Linked DNA regions of Lonchura striata. The main gene of each other region encodes a partner of the protein of the gene in region 3 in a complex. Links are inferred from orthologs where the notes say so. Each region holds a gene or a part of one and is shown on either strand. Other genes may lie near its edges.

The links.
Region 1: the proteins of CLOCK (region 3) and CIPC are in contact, whole or in part, in a crystal structure (PDB 5VJI), measured with the Mus musculus proteins. The link is inferred for Lonchura striata from reciprocal best matches to the Homo sapiens genes CLOCK and CIPC. Residues at the interface, in NP_001276755.1 of Mus musculus: Gln519, Leu526, Lys527, Leu530, Arg533, Ile537, Asn540, Ile541, Arg543, Gln544, Glu547, Leu548, Ile551, Gln554, Leu555, Val558; in XP_006515773.1 of Mus musculus: Asn401, Thr402, Val405, Leu406, Ser409, Leu411, Ile414, Thr415, Thr418, Leu421, Ile422, Asn425, Thr428, Gln429, Leu432, Leu435, Lys436, Thr439, Gln440, Phe442, Ile443, Thr446.
Region 2: the proteins of CLOCK (region 3) and BMAL1 are in contact, whole or in part, in a crystal structure (PDB 4F3L), measured with the Mus musculus proteins. The link is inferred for Lonchura striata from reciprocal best matches to the Homo sapiens genes CLOCK and BMAL1. Residues at the interface, in NP_001276755.1 of Mus musculus: Arg46, Gln49, Phe50, Leu53, Ile54, Glu56, Leu57, Met60, Leu61, Pro62, Lys70, Ser71, Leu74, Gln75, Ser77, Ile78, Phe80, Leu81, Arg82, His84, Lys85, Thr88, Glu95, Ile96, Gln98, Asp99, Trp100, Pro102, Phe104, Leu105; in XP_030097882.1 of Mus musculus: Lys70, Met71, Phe74, Ile75, Glu77, Leu78, Ser80, Leu81, Val82, Asp93, Leu95, Leu98, Arg99, Ala101, Val102, His104, Met105, Lys106, Leu108, Arg109, Gly110, Ala118, Tyr120, Lys121, Pro122, Phe124, Leu125, Asp127, Asp128, Glu129.

What each region holds. Positions count from the first base shown.
Region 1 is NC_134608.1:22,217,068-22,224,983, forward strand, and holds the start of CIPC (CLOCK-interacting pacemaker), read right to left. Parts: upstream 3,095-7,916; 5' UTR 3,021-3,094; intron 2,672-3,020; exon of another isoform or gene 2,536-2,671; intron 1,171-2,535; 5' UTR 1,069-1,170; coding exon 996-1,068; intron 96-995; coding exon 1-95.
Region 2 is NC_134608.1:58,750,522-58,757,543, reverse strand, and holds the start of BMAL1 (basic helix-loop-helix ARNT-like protein 1), read right to left. Parts: upstream 3,068-7,022; 5' UTR 2,990-3,067; exon of another isoform or gene 2,948-2,989; intron 2,902-2,947; exon of another isoform or gene 2,836-2,901; intron 1-2,835. UniProt on the Homo sapiens protein: Transcriptional activator which forms a core component of the circadian clock.
Region 3 is NC_134606.1:27,395,162-27,403,111, forward strand, and holds the start of CLOCK (circadian locomoter output cycles protein kaput), read right to left. Parts: upstream 3,085-7,950; 5' UTR 2,976-3,084; intron 1-2,975. UniProt on the Homo sapiens protein: Transcriptional activator which forms a core component of the circadian clock.

The DNA.
Region 1 (7,916 bases), on a different chromosome or scaffold from region 3:
TTGCCAAGGTCCATCCTCTGCATTCCAACACAGCGCGTTCAGCACATCCTCGGAGTCCGTCTGCTCCATAGCACTTGGGCATTCTGAACTTCCATCTGTCAGATGTAGAATTCAGCTGTTAGTTGTTCCACATGCAACATGCTTACTATTGCCTTTCAGTTTAATATTCTGCCTCATTCAACCAAGTCACAAAGAACAATAAAGTTTAGTTCTGTAATATCAACAAAATTAAAGCTGCTATGACAGATGTCAGACAGCCTCTAATAAAAGGCTTTGTATCTCAGGTCAATTCTTATACAGACAGTTTCTCTCATAAAAATCTACTTTCTGTTCTTTTGTACTTATGTCTCCAAGGGACTGCATAGTATCATCAAGGTTGCATTAGTCAAAAAACTGATACAGGAAAGCACTATAGGCTCCAGCATTGGCACATCCATAGTTTGCGATGCAGGCATTTTGTGTCTTGAAATTTTCTATCGAAAACCCAGTGAAGCAGGTATCTTTCATAGAAGTAATTGTTTCTCTTGTTTAAAGGTAATTTTTGCACAGTTTTGTTGACTACTAAAATGGCACACCATGGCTATTATTTTACTGATGTTATAACCACTACCCTCTGGTTTATCAGGCTCTACTGGCAATATGGTCAGATCATAATAGGCACTGGGGAACTTAATCCAACAATTCATTCATCACTGCAAAGGAAAAGTAATTTTGACATCTCCACTTCTAGACTCTAAAGTCTAAGATTATTCCATTAATTCTAAATTCCCATTCCATTCAAATTCACTGAAATTAACTTTGTAATTTGGTAATGTTCCACTTCAAAAAACTTTGGTGGTAGGATGATTGTAGTGGAAACCTATCTTGCACAGGAAGGTCCTCCAAGGTAATGAGACACCAACTGGAAGGGGTTACTCAGATTTGTTAAATGACACCAATTAAAGCACAGCCTCAGCACAGTAACACACAAGAAAGGTAACAGTGTTTTTCTAAACCTGAATATCCGGAGTCTTTGTCAGATTCAGCTGCCGCCATACTGAAGCGATGGTTGAAGCTCTTCATTTCCATCACTCTGCCCAACAACTCCTCACAGGTGTCAGTAAATTACTATTTTGTCTGAGTGTTTCCATAGTGTCGTGGGCAGTTTTTAACACCTCTTCCATTGAGGAACTGAAAAAACAGTTAAGAATAAAAAAGGACTTTATCTGAATCTAAAGAAAGTTCCATCAGTATAAGACAACAGTGGAGGACAGCTGCCAGTGATCTAACTGCAGACTTCAAGAAATATCTCAAAATCCTGAAAGAATGCAATTCACATAAAAAACTGATGTATTGGACATGCCTTTCCACCCCAAAAAGGTAAAACAAACTAAAAATTAAAGGCTATTCATAAACAACATTTATTTCAAGAATTGGAATTACTCAGGGCATTACTTATCTTATGAAAGCTTTGTTGCCCCAAGGGCTGAATTGCAAAACAAAACTGTTGTGCTGGGTGAAACTCTTACAACAAATACAGCTGAACCTGCAAAACTGTGGTTTTGCTAACAGAGCTTGTTTCATTCTCAAGAGTAGAGTAAGTCATCAGAGAAAAGAATGAGTGATCAGTGAACACACTGGGGGCTAAAGAAATCTATGCTGCTAAAAGAGCAACACATACTGCAATACACTCCTAGGGGAGACAGAGCCTTAGAAATACCCACAACCAGAATGAAAGCATTGAAAGGCTGAAATTAAAAGCTTTGAAAAACAGTAAAATGTTCCCACACTACATACTTTTCGCAACCTTCAGTTGCTTTCTGAGGGTAGGCAGCATCCAGTAAGATTAAGTTTCTGCTTCTCTTAAAGAAAGTAACTGAGAAATTGGCTAACAGAAAACTGACAGAATTAAGTGCAGAAATTTCTACTATTATTTGTAGAAATTATTTTCCTATAAAGTAACCCACTGAAGTTATGTCTCAATGTTAAGTTTTATATTTAAATTACAAAAACAGGAACTCAGGAGTCTGCAACATGGTCAGGCCAGCAGTCCATCAGCAGCAATATGCAGTACAAGCTGTTTCAAATGAACAGCAACAGACATTCTGGAATAATCTACACCAAAATGCAAGTTTCTTCTTCAGGTCCTGCCAAGTTTGCTAAAAGTTTGCTCCAAATACTGAGTCTTAGCACCAGTATTGAATTCTGAAATGGGAATATGACTGTCTATTACAACAATACTGGAATTATGGTCAGCAGAAGAAAAATTCCTCAAGTAGCTATTTGCATCACTTTTACTTTCCATCTTCAGTCACACCTGCCTGCCTGCTAACAGGTATGGAACAAACATGGTTACACAAGCGCAACCTAGATGCTATCCCTGCAATGGAAGAAGTGGTTTAAGTCCTGATCCATGCTTTCCTCACTTAACCCTTTCCAAAACAAATGTATTTTTTTAAGAAAGTGATAAGCAGAAATGTTGATCTAAAATAAAACCCCAAAACCATCTCAAACTAAAACAAGAAACAGAGAGGGCTAGAAATAAAGTAAGAACACCTTATCTGCCAGCTTTGCATCAAGTGAAGCTTTGGGAAGCGTTAACAGCATCTTCTCTCACAGTAAAGCAAAATATCACTACCACAACCGAAAATAAACAAACCAGAAGTGCCACTCCCCCCAGGCACGGGCGTGAAAAACCTCCTGCTCATCCCCGGGCCAGAGCCGCCCCGCTGGGCCCGGCGGGCAGGCCCTGGGCCGCGCACCGCCCTTAGAACCGGGCACTCACGCCGCCGTCCAGGGCCGGGTCTCCCCCCGATCCCACCCAGCCGCCTCCCACACGCCAGACTCCTGCGGCACGAGGAGAGCCCGCTCGGGCGGGCCCAGCCACTCGGCTGCCGGTCCGAGCCGCCGCCCCGCCACACGGCGAGGCGCGGCAGGTACAGCCCAGCCCCGGGCCCGAGGGCCGCCGCCGCTCCCCCGCGGCCGCCGCCGCCCGCCGGGCCGGGCCGGGCCGGGCCGGGCCGGGCCGGGGCGCCCCTCACCTGGGCGCGGGCCGCCACAGCTCAGCCGCGCCGCGCATGCGCTGCACCCGCCCGGGCACGGCCCGCCCCCACGGCCGCCGAGGGGCAGCGCGGCCGCCGCGCCCCGAGCGGGCATGCGCAGAGCCGGGCGGCGGGAGCGCGGGGCGGCGGCGGCGCCGCCGGGCGCGTCAGGGAGCCGGGCGGCGGGAGCGGAGCCCCGAGTCTGGGGCTCCCCAGTGCTGCACAGAAAAAATACAGCTCTTCCCCACACAGAAGGTCAGGCTTTCGTGTAGCCTCTCTCAGTTCATGAATGAGGAAAGCAGCATCAAAGAGGTCTCAAACTTGTCAAAGAGAGAAAACACGGCAAAAAAAGGAATCACAGAATCAATTAGGTTGGAAAAGACCTCGGGTCATTGAGTTCAACCTATGACCTAACACCACCATGTCAACTAGACCATGGCACTAAGTGCTACATCCAGTCTTTTCTTAGACACTTTCAGGTATGGTGACTCCATCACCTCCACGGGCATCCTGTTCCTATGTCTAATAATCCTTTCTGTGAAGGAATTCCTTCTCATCTCTAACCTGAACCTCCTCGGGCACAGCTTGAGGCTGTCCTCTTGTCCTGTCTCTGGCTGCTGGAAGAGGAGGCCAAATCCCACACGGCTACAGCCTCCTTTCAGCCTCCTTGTGAGAGTGGTAAGGTCACCCCTGAGCCTCCTTTTCTTCTGGTCTGAACACCCCCTTCTGTTCCTCACAGAACTCGTGCTCTAGATCCTTCACCGCTTTCATCACCCTTCTCCTGACTCACTCCAGCACCTCAATGTCCTTTCCTGAAGGGAGGGACCCAGAATTCAACACAGAACTCAAGGTGTGGTTTCACCAGTGCCAAGTACAGGGGAAGAATCACTTTTTCCTGTCATGACTGAAAACAAAAACAAAAACAAAACAAAACAAAAAACCAAACAAAACCAACAAAAAAACAAAAAAAACCCCCAACTTTTGTGTGGTTGGAAAGTGTAAAATACATGGATCTGGTTTACATGAACAGCATATAAACCAAGGGCAAATAAATAGGAGGAAGTGAGTCCCTGGTTCAATGAAAAAGCTAGAGTAGCTATTCTTGTTCTGAGAACTGCATAAATGCTACCAGCACCGAGAAATCTGTCAGAATACTTTGCATTTGGACATGAAAGCCATTTCATTATAGCAAATTGAAAAGACTGTGTGGAAGACCTGAGCAAATACAAAATTAATTCCTCAAACAGAAATAGAAAGAAATACTTTCATTGTTATGATGGTCTTGTTAAGGAACCTGAAATATGCTGATTTAGGAGGGCAACAAGATGTAAGAAATTCCTGAATGAAAAAGAGAAGGACCTTTAATCTCAGCATAGTCTCATAAACAACTTGCCAAATGCAACACAAAAATGTCTGAGGTTACATTAAATGACACCATAATTTTAAAAAATAAGGCACTGTTGGGTTCCAGTCCTACCAATCTGAAATGCTGTGAGAGAACACTAGTGACTCTTATTCTTAGGATGTAGTTTTGAGCACAGAAATGCCAGAGTTGGCTCTGATTACATCTAAGCTGTAGTGTGAGATGTGTGATCTCTAGACTCTGGATTTGGATCCCTTACTGTTCAGGAGTTTTGAGGTCTGAGGAAAAGCATGCTAAGAATGCTATTGTATCATCTTATTTGTACAGGCATGGTCTGGGGTTGCCTTGTACCCTGAAACAGCCCTTACTGTTCTCCACAGAGGCCGGATTTCTCAGGATATGGAGTATGCATGGCTGCTCAGTGAAAACAGCTCACCAGAGAGCAAGTAGCCTGTGTTTAGGACAGACAACCTGCTGTTCAGTTTACGTGATTCAGAACAGATTTGGGATATGTGATACCAGGCCTTCATCCAAGGGGCAGCAGGTAGGATAACTGAAATACTACACTGTTTAATAGAGAAGTTTTCCTGGATAGTCAAGGTAAACCTTTTTCTGAATAAATGAAATCTTATTACCGAAATGTCCCTGAATTAAGTTGACTTAAATCTTAGGTTTATATTGAACATCATCTAAATTCTTCCTCTTCCAAATATGCTGTATTTGTAGTTTTATTAATATTTCTGTCATTGCCCCTTCTCTCCCTTTTCATTTAATTTGATTCTTCATTGATCCAAGGTCTCATTTACTGTGTGAGTTCAGTGATTACAGTCAGTGGCAACAGGATGTTTTCCTTTTTCCTTATGTTATACAGTGGTTGATTTGTTTATCCTAAAGGCGAGTGTTTTGACAAATAAGAATTAACTTTTTGTTCACTTCCCTGTTTATTCTGGTTGTACAACAGGAAGAGTGAAAAGAATGACTGCATGTTTATTCAGTGTAGGTGTTTCAACACTTATTAAAAAAAGGTGTTGAATATTTTCTTTCAGGAGAAGATGCAGAAATCATCTTTCATGGCTTAAGAGTGACAGAGGCAAGTTTTTATCTAATTAGGTGGTTAAATAATGTGTGCTTACCGAACAATTAATAAAGGTGTTGATGCATCGACTTCATAAGTGCTTGTGGGACAAAGAATCTTTTGTCCTAACACAGCAGTAGAAAGAAATGTTTGGCAAACTTTGGAAATAAAGCATAGCCAGGTCAGAAGAATGTCGTTTCATATTACACTGTCTGAACTGGAAAGGTTAGGTCTGAAAACACCATGTACTCAATCTTTTTTATTCATATACTCACTGCTTTGTTTTGCAATCACAGACAAAATACAATTTAGGAAGTACTATATTAAGTTAGTTTGCAGATAAATATCTTTATTCATCTCACTTCATTGAACCAGTCTAATTTTTATGATATTTTAATACAGGTATCTTTGTTCCTTCTGTTATTCACTTCTGTAATTTTAATACATAAATAGACAAATATTGTTTAAATGATGCCTCATAAGTTTTCATTGGTCTCAACAAAAGAATTAATTCATGCAGATAAAGTGTGTTGTTGGGCATTAAAACAATATTAAAGCTTGAAATCTCTTTGAAAAGACATTCCACATATATATTTTGTTAATAATTAATATCTTATTTAATAAATATCAAAGCAGGAAACATTGTGTGATCATAGAATTTCACCCAGAAGTTGACTTAACAAGATTTTTCTCTAATGAAAGTACTTTAGTAATGGCTCCTTGTCTTCTAAATTTCAACTTTAGATATGTATTCTTTTCAAAATACACATCTTTCATATTGTTATATCCATCTGCAACTTCATCTTTACCATAAATGTGTCCAATTTAAGACAAGGCAGAATGAAGACAATTTCAAAATGACAAATTATTAACAGAGATGGCATAACAAGAATGAAGCACTTTTAGTGCTCTTACACTCTTCTATACTGTTTTATGTTGGATGAGAACAAAGGTGGATTTAATATTCCTTTTACAACTTCTAGGCTTTTGGGCCAACTGAGGATTTGGGGAAGCAGTGCAAAAGAGCAGCCCAATGACTGCTTTTAACCCTTGCAGCATCAGAGCATTGCAGCAGTCGAGAGTGCTCTGGAGAGCAGCAAGCCCTTCTGCATTCCCTCACCTCCCAGCACTGTCATCCCCTCTGTCTGCTCTTCCATATAGTGTGTGGAAAACTACAGGGTGTAGAAGGATACCTTTACTTAATAAGTGCAATGCTCCTCATTATAGTGTTGTTTTTTTTTTTTTTTCTGGTGCATGAATCTACAGGATTTAAATTGTTATAATGGAAGAGCTACTATTTGCTCCAAAGCAGGCTAGATGTTATGTTTTCCTGGAGTTCCAAAATTATTTATGTTTGTATTTCAGATATTGATGGTGGCTTTGGGAGTTTTGGGGGTTTTTTGGTAGGTGTTGAGCCATCTCTACAGACTCTTTTATATGGATTGTAACTTGTGCAGTGTCTTCATTTTTCTAGTTGCATCTTAATTTTGTGAATCTGAGAACTGAGAGAAGCGTCTTCACGTTCTACATGGCTTCTGTATGCCTGCGTTACTTGTAATAACCACTGGGTGTCGTGAGTCTCTTTGGATTACAGGACATCGAGAAGGACAAAATTAGTCCAGTCAAGGACTGCCTATGGACATTTTTTTTCGGGTGAAAAGGTCTTTGTCTAATTTACATAGGATTGCAATAAGGAATCCCAAATCTTACTTTAAAATAATGTTACTTGTTTAGCTAAATGTGTGATTCTTGGGGCTGTCCTGTGCAGGGACAGTAGCTGGACTTTGATGATCCTTGTGGTCTACTTCCAATTCAGAATATTCTGTGAGTCTGTGGGTCTTTATTTATGTACCAAGGGCAACTAATACGAGATAGGAATACTACAAACAACAGCCTAATTCTCTACATGTTTTATTCCCATTACCATTCAACTGAATGACATCTTGTTTGGCAGAAAAACACTTGAGATGTCAGTAGGTAAGTAAAGAAATCCTGATATTATAAGTGTATAGCATAGCAGAACTAAGGATGAATTTGGGATCTCAAATCTGTATTTTCTGAATTGGGGATCTCAAATTGGTATTTTCCTAATTTTTGGGAACTATATTTTACATGGCTGTATTTGAGAGTATGATTTTGGTAAAGATTTTGGCCTATTATTTTAATAATTTTTTGCAAGCAAATGAAAAGGCACAAATTTGTAACTTTATATGCTAGGATAAAAAATGGACTTCATGCAGAGAAGAACTTGAATGTTGAACCTTCAGTACAGACCTGTGCTGCAGAGGATTAAAGACCAACCATATTAGTTGCACATAGAAGGATTACATTTCCCACAGACTGGTCAGTAGGAGATCATATGATGTGGTAACAGTGATACAGCCGTGTGCTGTGCCTCACAGTATGGATAGATGAGCCAGGCACACAGGCTGGACGGAGGCTTTCCGAGAAGCTCAGA
Region 2 (7,022 bases), on a different chromosome or scaffold from region 3:
ATACACACACCCCACAGGCAGGTCCTTTGCTTTGCTTCATCCATCATCAATCCACTGCCCAAAATCTACCTACAGTGTCTTAGAGACACTGAAAGCTCTTTCACCAGGTTTGAAAATGCCATCAACCACCTCATTTTCATCTTCAAGCACCTTCAAAACACAGACCGTCATTGCTGTGGGTTGATCAAGCAGAATGTTCAATAACCAAATCTCAAAAGTTGGTAACTGAGTTCCCAGTCAGCATCATCCAGTCAGTGACTGCCTTTATAAAAATCAATTATTTCAGGCTGAAGCTCTCAAAATATGATGACAGCCAAAAATTAAAGTTTCAAAACATGTTTACTGTATCAAAGTAAATAGAGAAAGCTTAAATATTGCATTCTGTAAACTTAGTGAGAACCAAAAAGCTACACAAGATTAAAAAGATGTATTTATTTTGGGCTTCTCTTTGCAGTCATTTGCTTATGATATGCCTTTATACAGTTTTTATTGAAGACAACTAACTTCCTAACACTTGGGGATACAAGCAGCTGCCTTTTACTACTTTTCTGCCCTTTTTTAGAAACAGAACTATAGATAAAACTGACGGTAAAGGTTAAGAATGAAAAGCTTGCAGGTTACAGAACTGAAAGTCGCTACAGGATGCACCAAATTTACTTTGTTTCACTTAACAATAATGTATTCCTTCAGGTTTCCCTGTAACTCCCTCAAAGTATAACAACACAGGCAATAGGCCCCATGCTGAAAACAGCTTAAAATGTTACATTTGAGCACGGAAACAGCACTTCTGTACTCATGTAAACTAAATAACCTGCACATCTCCTGGTATTTCCAGCATCCTTGATATCCATTCCCTTGGAAAATCTGCCTTCCTCACCTGCAGCTCAAGGGCTGCAGCTCTCACAGGTCTCAGCTTTGCCATCAGTCCTGCACAGCTTCAAAGGACTGTGTGCAACCCCAAGCTCCACCAAATAAACCCAATAAATGCTCTCTCTTCTTACTCCTGGGTGCCCGAAATAATCTTTGAGAGCAGGTATCTGAAGGAGAAAAACAAATCTCCTTTAAAGTCCCCCTACAAACATCACTAATACATCATTCCTAATACATCCCTAGCAAGGGTCCCCAAACACAGAGAGTCTCTTGGGAGCACATGGTGACAGGAACGTGGCAGCAGCCCCTAATTCCAGCTCTGGCATTGTGGAATGCCAGCTCCAGCCACCTTAGCTTCCCCACACCCAAACCAGGCAGCTTCACGTTCTCTGTGGTGCTTCTCTCTTGTCTGCTCTCCCACAGAACTTCTTTTACAGAGCTTGATCCTTCACAGCCCCACACACCACAGCTGGCCTCCAAAGAGACAACAGAAATGCACAGCGTGCAAGAGAATTTGGGATAAAACAGCATAAAACCCCAATGAAATGCTGTGGCTGTAGATTATTTTACACGCTCAATTTCTACAAGCAGGGGTAAAAATCCAGGAATGGTCATGAGAAGCACAAACCCACAGAGGTCAGGAGGAGTAAAGCCTTTTTCCTTAATAAGCAGCTGTGGTTTACAGTAACCAGAGAGAGGTCTGTAGTTCCTGATGCTTCAAAGAGCTATTTACATATTCCTGGAGGATACAAAACATACATTATGAAGAGGGCAGAGTTTAACCTCATCCTCCTGCAAGACCGTTTACAGAGACAGTTAGCTGGAATTAATACTTAATTGGAACAAAACTCTTTCTTTCCTCCCTTACAGACTCAGCTGCAGCCTGCGTACTATCAGTCGCTCACATTTAATGAGCCCTTTTAATAAAAGAAAAGGTACTTTTAATATGAGCGTGTTAAAAAAAAGAAACATAATATTTTGAATGCTGAAGTTCCAGAATTTAAAAAAAAAAAATACACTTAAAGGCTGAATTTTGAAAAGAGATTAGAACACACTCTGCAGCTGACCCTTTCTACCTCACACACTAAGGAAATGCTATGAAATTCCAGCAAGCAAATTTACTTCCAAGGCAAGAAAACACACCCACTTGTTCCTTCACCGTTGTTTTTCAGGCACAAAAATCTTCCCAAAACTGTTATAATCGAGACACCGGAGTGACAGAAACCTCAGCAATTAAAAATGCAAAGAGATTCCCTTGCCTCCCCAAGCGCAAAATCCCCGATCTCGGGAAGGCGCCTCGGTGTTCCCGGTGTGCTCCGTTCCTCCCTTCCCCTCGCACACAGGTGTCGGCCAGGGCAGCGGAGGGGGATCGGGATGCGGGGATCCCGGGGCGAACAGCCCCGGCACGTCCCGGGACGCTCCGTGCGGCGCCAGCAGCCGCCGGCCGCGGGGCTGGCACCTGCCCGCGGGCGGGACCGAGCGGGGAATTCCCCAGCACCGCCATCCTCCTGGCGCTCACAGGGGCCGCCCCCATCCCGGAGCGGCCGGCCGAGACCCCGCTCGGGCAGGGGAAGCGCCACCGTCCCCTCCGTGAGGGCCGCCCGAGCCTCGCCACCCCTGAGGGCGACTCGCACCGGGCAGAGGGCACAGCCCGGCACGCCCCCGCCGCCGCGCCTGCCCTCCGCGGGACCCCGGCCCGGCTCTGACAGGGCTCCGGGCCCGCCCGCCCCGTCCCCGCGGTGCCGCCACACCGCCGGGCCAGCCCGCCCCGGGGCCGCTCCGTAACGGGGCCCCCGCCTCGCTCCCGGCTCCCGGCTCCGCAGCCCGGCACCGCCGCCGGGGGGTCCCGCCGCCGCCATCGCCCGGCCCGGGCCCCTCCCGGGACTCCCGCGGCCCCCGGGGGCGGCGGCTCCGCCGGGGCCGCGCTGCCCCTCACGCCCCCCGCCCGCCGCCCCTGGCGCTCACCGCGGCTCCGCGCGCCCCTCGCCGCGCCGCGCCCGGCCGAAGGGAGCGCGGGCGGGGGTCGCGGCCCCCCGGCAGCGCCGCACGCCCGGCGCAGGCAGCCCCCGTCCCTGACCTACTTTCCGCCTGGCTTGCCACCCGACGGCGCACCACTAACCTACTTTCCAGCCAATGGCACCCTCCCCCGGCCCCGCACCGGACGCGCCCGCCCGCCAACGGCAGAGCGGCTCCGCGCCCGCCTCGCCCAATGGGCGGCCGCCGAGCGGGCAACGCCCGCCCCCCCGAGCGCCGGCAAATCCCCGCGCGGCCCCGCGGCACCGGCCAATCGGAAGCGCGGCTCCGGGCTCTGGTCCCGCCCCTCGGCGGGGGGCGCCGCCGGGACCCGGATGTGGCGGTGGCGGCGGGGTCGGCGGGGTTCTCGGGGCGGGTGCGGCCGGGGCGGCGGGGAGGGCTCGGCTCGGCATCGCCCGCGCTGCTGCCCCCGGCGGCGCCGCCCGCGGTACCGCCCGCTGCCCGCCCCTCCGCCGGGGCTCGCCCGGGCCGCTGCGTCACCGCCGCGTGACGTCAGCCGCGGCCGTGACGTCACGCGCCGAGGTGTGAAGGTCATGGCGGCGCTGCCCCGGCGTGGCCGCCCTGCCCGCGCCTCGTCTCCTTCCGTCCCTCGGCGGCGGGGCCCGGGCGCAGCCCCGCACACCGCCCCGGGGCCTCGGGGAGCCCGTGCGGTGCTGGCACCTCCCGTCCGCTGAGAGTCCGCTTCTCTGCGCCGCGCTCACCGGCCCTTTGCCCGCCACCCGCCCTGCCAGAGGGCCGCTACCGTGTCCCTCAGCCCCCGTGTCCTTCAGCCCCCGTGTCCTTCAGTCCCCTGTCCCTCAGCCCCCTGTCCCTCAGCCCCCGTGTCCTTCAGCCCCCGTGTCCTTCAGCCCCCCTGTCCCTCAGCCCCCTGTCCCTCAGCTCCCGTGTTCATCAGCCCCCGTGTTCATTGGCCCCCGTGTCCTTCAGCCCCCATATCCTTCAGTCCCCTGTCCTTCAGCCCCCGTGTCCCTCAGCCCCCCTGTCCCTCAGCCCCCGTGTCCTTCAGCCCCCGTGTCCTTCAGCCCCCGTGTCCTTCAGCCCCTGTCCCTCAGCCCCCGTGTCCTCCAGCTGCTGAGTGCCATGCCTGTCCCTGCCACTGATGCTCCGGGTGCGATGTATGTCCTGGTCACTGATGCTGCGTCGCCTCTGGAGCTGCTCACAGCCTGTTCCATTCTGCGTGTGCACCAGGCCAGAGGTGCAATGTGGTAGAGCCATCCACTGCGCCATGTTCTGGTCTAAATTTAGACAGTCCACGCAGCAGCGTAGAGGGGATGTGTTGCAAGAACATAATCACAGCGGAGCTGCTTTCAAATGCATACATTTGCTAAATGGGATTGCGTGAGCGCTGCATCAGATTATCATTGCCACATCCTAATTGTGTTAACATTTCCTGTCCTGTGATGCCACGTCCCAGAGGTTTGGTTTACGTTTCCCAGGGTAACATCACCGGGGAAGTGTGGGTTGCAGCGGGGTTGGGGCACGGCGTGGGTTTGGTTGTCCCAATCCTCCATCGCTCAGCCCGGGACAGCATTAACAGCTCCTTTACTCCTAATTGAGTGGGGACTAAACACTGGCAGCAAGTGGCCCCTGCTGGATGCAAACTCTCTGTTCACATCAGGGTACTCCTATTCGGCAGAAACCCTCCAGAAGAGCGAGTTAAATGAAACACTACATCAGTAGGACGGAAATGTATACTGTGAACAGAGAGGAGAAGATGCATCTTCTTATTTCCAGCAAAATGGTGCTGCTTTGCTTTGTTTTAGTGCACAGAAGTTATGGAGGTGGAGAAGTCTCCTTGACTACTTCTTTCAACTCGGCCTTTGTAGTTTTGCTCATTGTTTCTACCCATCTGTAGAAATAATCTTCCTTATGGAGTCAATCGCGTAGTGTCTGTTTTAATGAGCCCAGTGCCTGCTGTAGGGAATGATGCCAAGAGTAATGATCTTTTGCTATTTCTGTAGGAGAGCAGCTTAGCAGGCCATATGTCAGATTTCCCAGTGAGAGATTGTTTGGAGTTGTTTTTACACCGTAGTTTCTATTCATGAGATATTAAAGAAAATAATAGCATCTGGTTAATCAAATTCCGAATTTCACCATATGATGATGTATATCAGTCTAGTTCTGTGACTTTCTTTGAAATAGATTGTCAGGTCAGTGCAGGCATTCTATCTGTAGGTGAATCAGGCATCTTATACCTTGAAATTCTAAAAATGAGGAGCTAAGAATTTGAAATTTGACAAGACCTGAGTTCAGCTCCTGACACCAAAAAAGTTTGCACCACTCTTCTACCACACGTTTCAGGAGACAAAAGGCAAACAGGAGAGGTGAGGCTTGACCAAAGGTGGAGCATTTTCTCCTTGCAAGGTACTTGAGGGAGCACATGAAGTAGAGCACCCCACAAATCGTGGGAGCTGCTGGGCAGACCAGCTCAGCTGTGTGCTCAGCTCAGGGCACTGTGCACTGGTGTGTCTGATACAAGATCAGAAGCATTTCCTCATCTAGACAACTCTCACATGATTAATTTTCAGATTTTATGCTTTTTCTTTCTAAGAATGCAGTAAATTAGATCTTAGGCAGAACGTTAACTGCCTCCTTAGCTATGTTAATATGTTAATGGTTACATCATGTTTAAACACCAACATTTACACTCATGATTGGCTTACAATGACAATTTAAAAGCAGAAAGAGGGTGTGCTATGTGGCAATTGTACTGAAAATTGTTGTTTATTAATAGAATAGTGGAAAAAGTAGCTCATGTTCCAACTGATTACTGTATTCACATTTGAATGCTACAATAAAACTTTGCAGGTCTTAGGATTTTGACTTTGTGTCAAGAAGAGTGGCAGATACGATCGCCATTAAATGCAGCCTACCTAAGGTATGATAAGGCCATATCAGCAGTTTCACTTTAGAATCTGCAAGTGTTTAAATCTATAACTATTTCCCTGCAGAAAAAGGAATCTGGTTTCTCAACTGATAACCCAAAAACCGATAGTTTCTTTTCTGTTTGGATTTATTTTTTTGGGCAGGGGTTACCTTCAAGCAGTCTTGATATATCTCTGGAACACCTACAGATGTTCAGAAGTAACCAGCCAAATTAGTTCTTTGATGTATTAACTTTGTATTCTCTCAACCATGCTTCATGACCCCAGTACATGACACAGAGGACACAGATCTCTGAGTCTTTGGAGGGTGAAATTTTGTGAAATGGTTTGGAGATAGAAGAATTATATGTGTTTATTTTTTTAATGTTTTCCAAAACATGTGCAAGATAGGATATCTATTTTAGCACCTAGCTATGGATCCCACTGCTTTAGAGCATTTTAAGCAGATGCTGTTTGTTCATAGGTTTCCAGCCATGGAAATACTGATTAATACTGATTAATTAACCTGTCTTACTCTTTTATCCAACCTTTCTCCATTTCTCTCTAGACATATAAGCTATGATCTTACCTACAGCAGGGCAAGTCAAAGCTCAGAGAAAATTATGGAGACTGAATTTGAATCTCTGGATTTCTTGTTCTGTCTGTACATTAAAAACCCCAGAGATTACTGAGCCCTATTTCTCACCCTGTTACACAGAGTTGGTGCCTTGCTTCAACCCAATTATGAGGGCAGAAAAAACTGCAAACAGTGGCTTGGATTGTTTGCAAACTGATGCAAAAAATCACACAGTGGTGACCTGTTGACTGTAGTCTGTCACAGCTCTTGTGTGGCTGGCTCAGACCTCTTCAAAATAAAGGTTTTATCAAAATAAGCTGTTGCAGACTCATTCTTTTCCCAGTTCATCAAAATGTTGAGTTAATACAAAATCTAAGCCAGGGGAAAATTGGGTTTTCCTGCTTTTGCTTGTATAAACACTTGCTGCTTTAAAGGGTGTCCCTCCTACCACAATGTTTCCACATTTGAGCATTAATTTCTTAAATATACAGCAATAAATGTTGACTTTTTAATGTGCCTGCTTCCTTCTGAGGTTTTTAAAATCCATTCTTCTTCCTCCTGGCCTTTATCATAATTTAAAGGACTAAAAGCTTGTTTCAGGCAAAAGGAGAAGATTCTAATCCAGCCCATTGATTTCAGCCCTGTGGTCTCTGAGAACACAAATTAATATTCAAAGA
Region 3 (7,950 bases):
CTCCAACAGCCTGGTGACTCCTGATCTTGTGCCACCCCTTCAGTGGTGAACCAGTTCATTAACACTGAAAGGTTAAATATACTTTGCAAAGTAAATAAACAGAAATTAAGAATGGCAGGAACAATCACTACTGACTTTGCTATGCCAGTACCTACTAACATCACCTCATAATCCTCAGAAACAGTTCTACACCTGCTTTCACACTCAGCCTTCAGTTTGCAGTGCTCATAGAGAAGCTAGTGCTTTCAAAAGGCTGAAACACTAAAATAAACTTTTCTTCACTTCAGAGATCTACCAAAGTCTTTGTCTCGAGCAAAACTAATTCATGACAGTGTGATGAAAAGGCACCTTTCAGCTGTAATTCCAATTCTTCTGAATTATATTTTGTATTAAAAACTGTATTAGGATGATAATTTTCTACTTCAAGAGGAGAGCTATCCATAGTCTTCATTATAAAACTAGGCTGAAACCATGAGGCACTGACAACAAATTATATGTATCTCCTGAAGGAAAGCGTAGATAAAAAAGAAGCTCCTTTCAAATGAGGAAATTACCTAGTAAAGAAAACTGCATTTTTGATTCACAAAACTTTTCAATACAAGTTTATTTGTTTTTAATAAAAAAAACCCCACAACTTTCCAAGTTGAAAAACATTTAATATAAAGAACATGTGGAGAAGGTGAGGGGCAATACCTCTACTATCACTTAATACCTTCAACTTTTCTCAGAAATTTAAAATCGGGGCGGGGGGAGGGAAAGCAAAAGCCTAAAGCTCTTAAAAGCAACAATTTATTTTACAAGACCAATCCAACCACAAAGATTCATGACTTCCATGAAATTCTATACCAAGAAGCTAATTAACCAACACTGCAAATAAAATTTAAGGTAATTACCACTGAGTTTTAAAATTGCTTAGTACAAAGAGAGCAAAGCTACCTACAGCAGAGGTTTGGAGGTCCTTAGAAGAGCATTAGTAACAAAAACATACTCCTTTCCTCACATTCTTTTATTTTACCTAAATGTGTTAAAACTTTTCCATGTAAGAGCATGAAGCGGAAGAAATAAAAAACAAGACATGGCTGAATGGCACCTGAAACTATTAAATATCAACCCGGAAGTTTGGGGTTTTTTTCCCTGTTTGAATTGTTTGTTAAGAAGCAGTAACCCTTGCCTTACCAACAAAATTCTCAGATAAACTTGCCATATTCTACAAAAACCTAAACCAAATACATTTTGTCTGGTAATCTGAAAGCAGCATCTGTAGCAAGTTTGAGAAAGTGTCTTAAGTGGATACATATGAAAATTAATAGTTTAACTTATAAAAAAAATTAAAAGCAAAATTACTTTCAACTAGAATCTCCCTATTACAACAATCAAATGCTGTCCATTTTCAAATAACAGGCCCAAATCCCACAGATATTTATAAACAAAGTCAATATTATTTCTGTAAAACTGAACATTGTGAAACAACTGCAACTGTTCATACTGAACTTTGCCAGGACTACCACAGTCGAGCTGTATTTCTCAAGTACTTCTTTCTCTAGAGTATTTGCTTAAACAATCCTCTTGCCTCCTGTTACACCTGTTAGCCAGAGAAATTATATAGGTTAACTATAACCACGTTAAAAAGAAAAAACAAAAACACAAAACCTAGGTAGTCAATTTTAACCTGGATCATTTCCTCAAGCTAGTTACAGGACCGATTTCCAAGAACCGTTGTGCTGGTGCAGCTGGAGCAAGGAAGAGGCAGACCAGGTCAAGTCAATACTGCCACCAAAAGCACTGCTTGTCAACCAGTCATTGAAGTAAAAATACCTACTTTAAGGATTTAGAGCATCAGGTTCTATGATCGGCCACTCTGCGTCTACATAGAGTTACATATTCCAGCCAAAACCATACCTGATTTCCCCTATGCCTCTTGGTAGGTTATCTCTTTAGCATATGAAAACAGGTATACAAAAATCTTACTGCAAATATATTTGATTAGTTCACAAGCACTACTCCCCATGGAAAAAAACCAAACATTTCCAATTTATACCGAGGCCTAAAATATCTGGAACTTGAAATTGAAACCAACGAAAAATCGTGATCCAACTTAACCCAAACACAAAACTGAAGTACCATGGATTTCCAGTCCCTCGCTGCTCGTATTTCACACCTGCATGCACGGAGCATTAAAGAGACTGACTTTAAGGCCGCAGTAACTCGAAAAAGGACCGGGGTATACTGAGAATCCCTCAGGTTTTACGAGCGTGAACACGTTGCGGTTATCGCAATAAAGTTATCGTAACCCAAAAACAAAGGGAAAATTAAAAGCCTACGAAGTGCATACGTAACCCCGCAGCTGCAGCCCACCTGCCGCAGGGAGAGCGCGGGGCACGCTCTCGCCACCGCCCGGAGCCCGAGGCCCCGCGGAGCTGTCCCGCCGCGGGGAGGGCCCGGGGCCGGGCGGGCACCGACCGCCGCCCGCCCGCCGTGTCAACACCCGCGCTGCGGGGCCGCCGCCGGAACCTCCCCCGCGCGTGGGGCGGCGGGCCCGGGCGCGCCCCCCGGCTCCCGCGGGACGAACCGCCCCGCGGAGCGGCGGCGCAGGGGCCGCGGGGGGAGGCGCCGCCCGCAGCCCTGCTCGGCCCGGCGCAGCCCGGCCCGCGGGATGCCGGGGAGTCCCGCGCCCGCCCGGCCCGGTCCGCGGGCGCGGGGCCAGGCGGGCGGCGCTCCCGCCGCGCCCCGGAGTTGTGACAGGAGCAAAGTGGGTCACCGGGCCTAGCGGGTGCCCCGCGAGCGCCCCCCGCCCCCGGCCGCGGCCGTGCCCGCCCAAGGGCAGCCGCTGCACTCCCGCCCCCCGGTTCGCGGCGGGAGACACACGCCGGCGCTGTCAAACTTCCTCCGCGCCGCGCCCCCGCCTTCCCCTCGCCAGCGCACACCGGGCCCCGGCGGGTCCGCCCGCACCGCCCCGCGCCGCGCTCGCTGCTCACCTGGCCCCGCGCTGCCGCTGCCCGCCTGCCTGCCCCGGCGAGCGCCGCTCCACGCGCGCAGCCCCGCGCCCGCCGCCCGCCGGCACTGCCTGACTGAACCTGCTGCTCCCGCTCCTCCGGCGGCGGCACGGCAGCACCCGGGCCCGGGAGTCCCCCCGACACCACCGCGCCTGCGCCGCCGAGCCCCCACCGCCGCCGGCCGCCGCGGCGCCTCGCGCCACCGCGCGTGCGCCGGCGCGTACTGCAACCCGCGGCAGCCCGGGGCCGCCGCCGCCGCCTCCGCCGCGCGTGCGCAGGAACGGCACGGCGGGGCGGCGATCCCCGCTCTGCGCGCGCGCCTCGCCTGGCGCGCGGGGGGGCGGGGGAGGGCTGCGCGCGCCGCGCAGGCGCGGTGGGCGCGCGCCTCCTTGACCTCGGCTCACCTCGCCTGGCCTCACCCCGGGGCGCGGGAAATGGCGGCGGACGGGGCGCCGCCCGCCGAGCCCGCGGAACGGGCTCGCTGAACGCAGCCGCTTCCCCGCCGGCACCGTGAACCCGGCGCAGAACGCCGTCGCACGCGTGTTCCGAAAGCGGAACGAGCGACATCCCGGGTCCTGTCCGGGAAATGCGTCCCGAGGTATTTAGGGGTTCAACGAACCCGTCCCAGCGGAGGTCCGTGGTTTGTTCTTTCCTGTGCATAAAGCGGAGAAATTCCCAGAGCGGCAGAGACCAGACGTGTTTGCCTCAACCCTTTTGTACGTACGAGGCTTTTAATACAGTTCCATAATATTTAAATATAAACCTGCTATGCCTGCAGCAAAACATTGTGGCGAGTCGTTTTTTGTAATATAAAACGCTTAGAAGTAAAATTGTGTAAGTAATCCAAATTTTTTTCTCACAGTTAAAAGGATTTTATTTTTTAATTGGTATCTGAATAGCAATGTATTTAAAAGTATCTGTATAAGTTTAATTCGTGTTTATGTCTAGAATAAAATAAAGAACTTGACTGCAAATTGTCATGGATTTCTTTCTGGGTTACTTTTCAGGTAGTTCAGTTTCCCCATTTGATTCACAATCGTGACCAAAGTCTAGTGCAAAGATACTGTAGGGACAGGAGCTTCTTTACCAGTAAAGCTCCCAAAGAGCTGACCATAAGCTTTTCCACTGGAAGAATTCTGAAAAACATTAGCAAAACTGTTTATTTTTGTTTCTGATTCACAATACTCTAATTTTAGCTTTCAGTTGAGGAAAATGTGGCATAAGGAAAGATAATTATACTATCTTATGCACAAAGGATAACACTTATGATAAAATGTAGTAGAGACAATAGGGTAGGATTGGAATATCAAGGAAAAAATGCAGGAATATTTTCACCAAAAATGCTTATTTATCAGAACTAGAATATGGCAAAGAAACCAGGAGGCTACAAATAACTTTGCGCTGTATCTATTGAATTTTCCAGAAGATCTTTAATAAGCAGTGGTAATTCTTCAGAAGAAGGGGTGCTGCACTATCTCTTCACACCTTGCATGAATAGGAGCATAACACCTACTCACTGCAATGTTGCAGTGACAAATTATTCTTTGACAAGATCAAAACAAGCAACACAGCTGTGGAGATGATGCACATTTGCATTTTCTGCCAAAGCTGTGGCCTAAGCAAGGTCATTTTTTTAATGCTGCTTTTCTTTTGGCAGTATTTTGTAGGATCCTGAAGGAGCAGAACAGCTTAGAGATGGTGTGGTGGTTTTATGAACTATTCTTCTAGAAATACTATTGCTCTGCTCTTGCCATCAGTGTGGCTTTGCTGTGTAATGGTAGTTGTGGTTCACTCACAGACTGTGAAAGCAAACACAACTTTTAAACAATGCCAAATTAGGAGCAGCAGATCTTTTGTGAATTGGTGAACGGTTGGACTCCATTGAGCTGGAAATGGAGACATTTCCAATGCACTTCCATTAACTAATAGCCGTATTTCCTAGAGAAATGCCATTGCTGTCCTGCATAATGTACTTCAGAGCCACAGAATGACCACCTGCTTAGTGTGCTCCTTTTTGATCCACACTGGCCTGTTCAAAAGAGGATCTCTTATAGGAAACTGGTACCAAAACTAAATTTCACATCACTCCAGAATACTAAAATGAGCGGATGTTAACTTGAAATCCTGTCACAATCCACATAACCCTTGCAAAGCAGGGTTGGCTAATATTCCTGGAGCCTTTTCTGCCAAACAGTGTAAATGACTCAGTACCAGAAACATCTGGTTTTAACCTGCAGATTACCTTGGATTTTGCTGCTGCTTTGTCACATCTGATGGCTTTTATTACAACCGTGTGATCACTTTGGTTGAACAAAGGCAGGGTCACCAAAGGGGGATGTTTGGCTCTTTTCCTGTTGCATCTGCTTCCACTGTCACACACTGTCCCTTGCAGCAGCCACAGTAGTGGGAGGGAGGCTGGCAGCTGAGAGGAAGCAATGCTGCTTTTATAGCAGCCAACTTTGATACTTGAAGGGACTGTGCAGTCGTATCTAAAGTCCCTGATGACCTATTTACATTTAAAACTACTAGCTAGCGTTCTAGTTTGAAGTGGCAGATAACGGCACATAAGCCGTTGTCTCTGAAATGCTTCTACTAGTTATCTCTGAATCTGGAAAATAAAAGCTTCCAGCAGTGGTATCTGCCAGTAGGTATCCACCAATAGGCTTACCAAAGGGGTAGAAAACCGTATTTGAACTAACTTATGTCAGAACACATGATCTTAATTAATTTTTTTTCAAGCAATACATGTTTTTATCTCAGTAAAATATCTTACCATGAAATTGCAAAATACCGTGCCTAGGCAATATTCTTACCACAGAATTATGTAAATCTTATGCAAGTTATTTGCCTTTTTTTCAGATTCTTTTTTCCCTTCAAAAATAATCAAATACCTTTTCAACTTTTAAGAAGTGGACTTTAGATCTCCTCCCCCTTGTTTAGCTATCCCAATGAACCTGCCTTGTATTTCACCAGTTTATATACAAATACTGTGGCTAAACACCTTGTAATTCTGAGTGCAGCAGTTTACAATGGCTTTGAGAAACTTGCCTTCTGGAAACTTTCAGGCCAGCAGTTTGAGGTGTTCATTAACCAGTAAACACATTGGGATACTGAAAAAGAATAAGGAAATATAATGACAGTTGTGGTGTAAATGATGTGTAAAATAACTGAAGTTATTAAAGCATTTGAAGAGCACAAGTCTTCTATCCTATAGTCTGCTTCTACTTTAATTTGTTATAAGAATTGCAGGACAAATTTTATTTAGCTTCTTCCAAGATCATTATGATTTAAAGAGCTGTTGAAGTAAAAAAACATAGCAGGCACAGTCTAAGAAATATGTTAGTAAAGCTACCAGACACTTCAGGCACTGTACCTCAGTTTCATTCCTCACTAAGTTTTTAAAACTGATTTTGTCCATTGTAGAATTTAAATAATGTTTTTGAATCTGTAACATACATTCTACTTTATTTAAACTAGATTTTAATTTAACATCTAAATACTTCTCCATTCCCTAAGTAACATCGGGGAAACCTTTGTATATTTTTATTTTTAGCATGTCTTACCATGTTCATTATTTTCATAGTTACTATTTAAAATACAATCTATATAAACCCCAAAAATCAACCAGGAAATGAAGAAAACACGGACACAGAAAATGCCAAAACCAACAGGGATTTTTTGTTCCCCTCCAGGCCTTTGAGCAATTAGGATCTTTTGAATCTGACTGAAGTTAAATCAGCTGGCGTGGCCTGTGGACCTTGGAGGTCAAAGGCAGGTGATCCAGTTTTGTCATGAGGATTTTTGTGGATACTCATTCCTAAGGGATTACAAATTTCCTCAGAGGCTCTTATTTATGCAATGGTAAAATATAGAATTGCTTCTCCATTATATAAATCAAATTAAAATCAAGAAAGGCCACTGGTTTCTCTCTTCAGATCTTGAAATTTAAATTACTGTAATTCTAACAATTTCATTTGGTTGTCCTATTCCTTTTGCTCCTGGAAAAAATATTTGATTCCTGACAATTGAGAAGAAACCCCCTCCCAAAATACTTGAAGGAAAAGATAAAACTGTATGGGTATTCTCAGTTCAGTCAGAGAGAAAGGAGAGTTTCTAACCAGGCTGAATCTAAAACTGGTCTGAATCTAAAATATGATTATACATTCTGTACTAATTCTCAGTGTTTTTCAAAAACATCTGATAGAATTGCTAACATACACAGAACCAATCATGGGAGTCCTTTGACATTTCTGCTGCATCCTGTCACAACTTCTGCTACCATCTGAGAATTTACAGGGCCATCGATAAATTAACAAGTCCCCCAGCTTTCCTCAGTTTACGTAACTGAGACTTTTTCTGATGGGCTTTTGATTTGTTCACGTCAAAGGAGAAATAAAGGTAGAATAATCCTGTTAGACCACTCCTGCTGAGAAAAGAAAGTGAAAACAATGGACACCACTTTCTTAGTGAAACCCAGAGCTCTCAGTAAGGTTACATACATGGTGATAAACATGCACAGCAAAAGAAATCTTCCATGTATTTGAACAAAAGTGAACAATTAACTCTCACAAAGTGAATTAACAAATCGAGTAGGTCAGATGCGCTATGATTCCATTGTTTCTAAGAAATTGCTATTTCATTAGCCACTCTTATTTAATTTTTCTAGATTTTTTAAAAAGTGCTAGTTCAGTTCTTTGTGTTGAAGTATTCTACATCTTATGCAAGAATGTAATTACCTTGACCAATAAAGATTAATCATAGCCCAAACATCCTCTGGAGCATTTGTAAACTTCTTTCACATACTGCTTTCCACAACTTTCTCTTAGCTTCACATACTTTTGCTTCCTCTGAAGACATTTCCATTCCTGCAAGAGCTGCTGCTTAATTAGAGAGTAAAAATAATAATAGGCATCTTTGCAACATTTTACATGCATTTTACAATAATATCTAGTGCAAC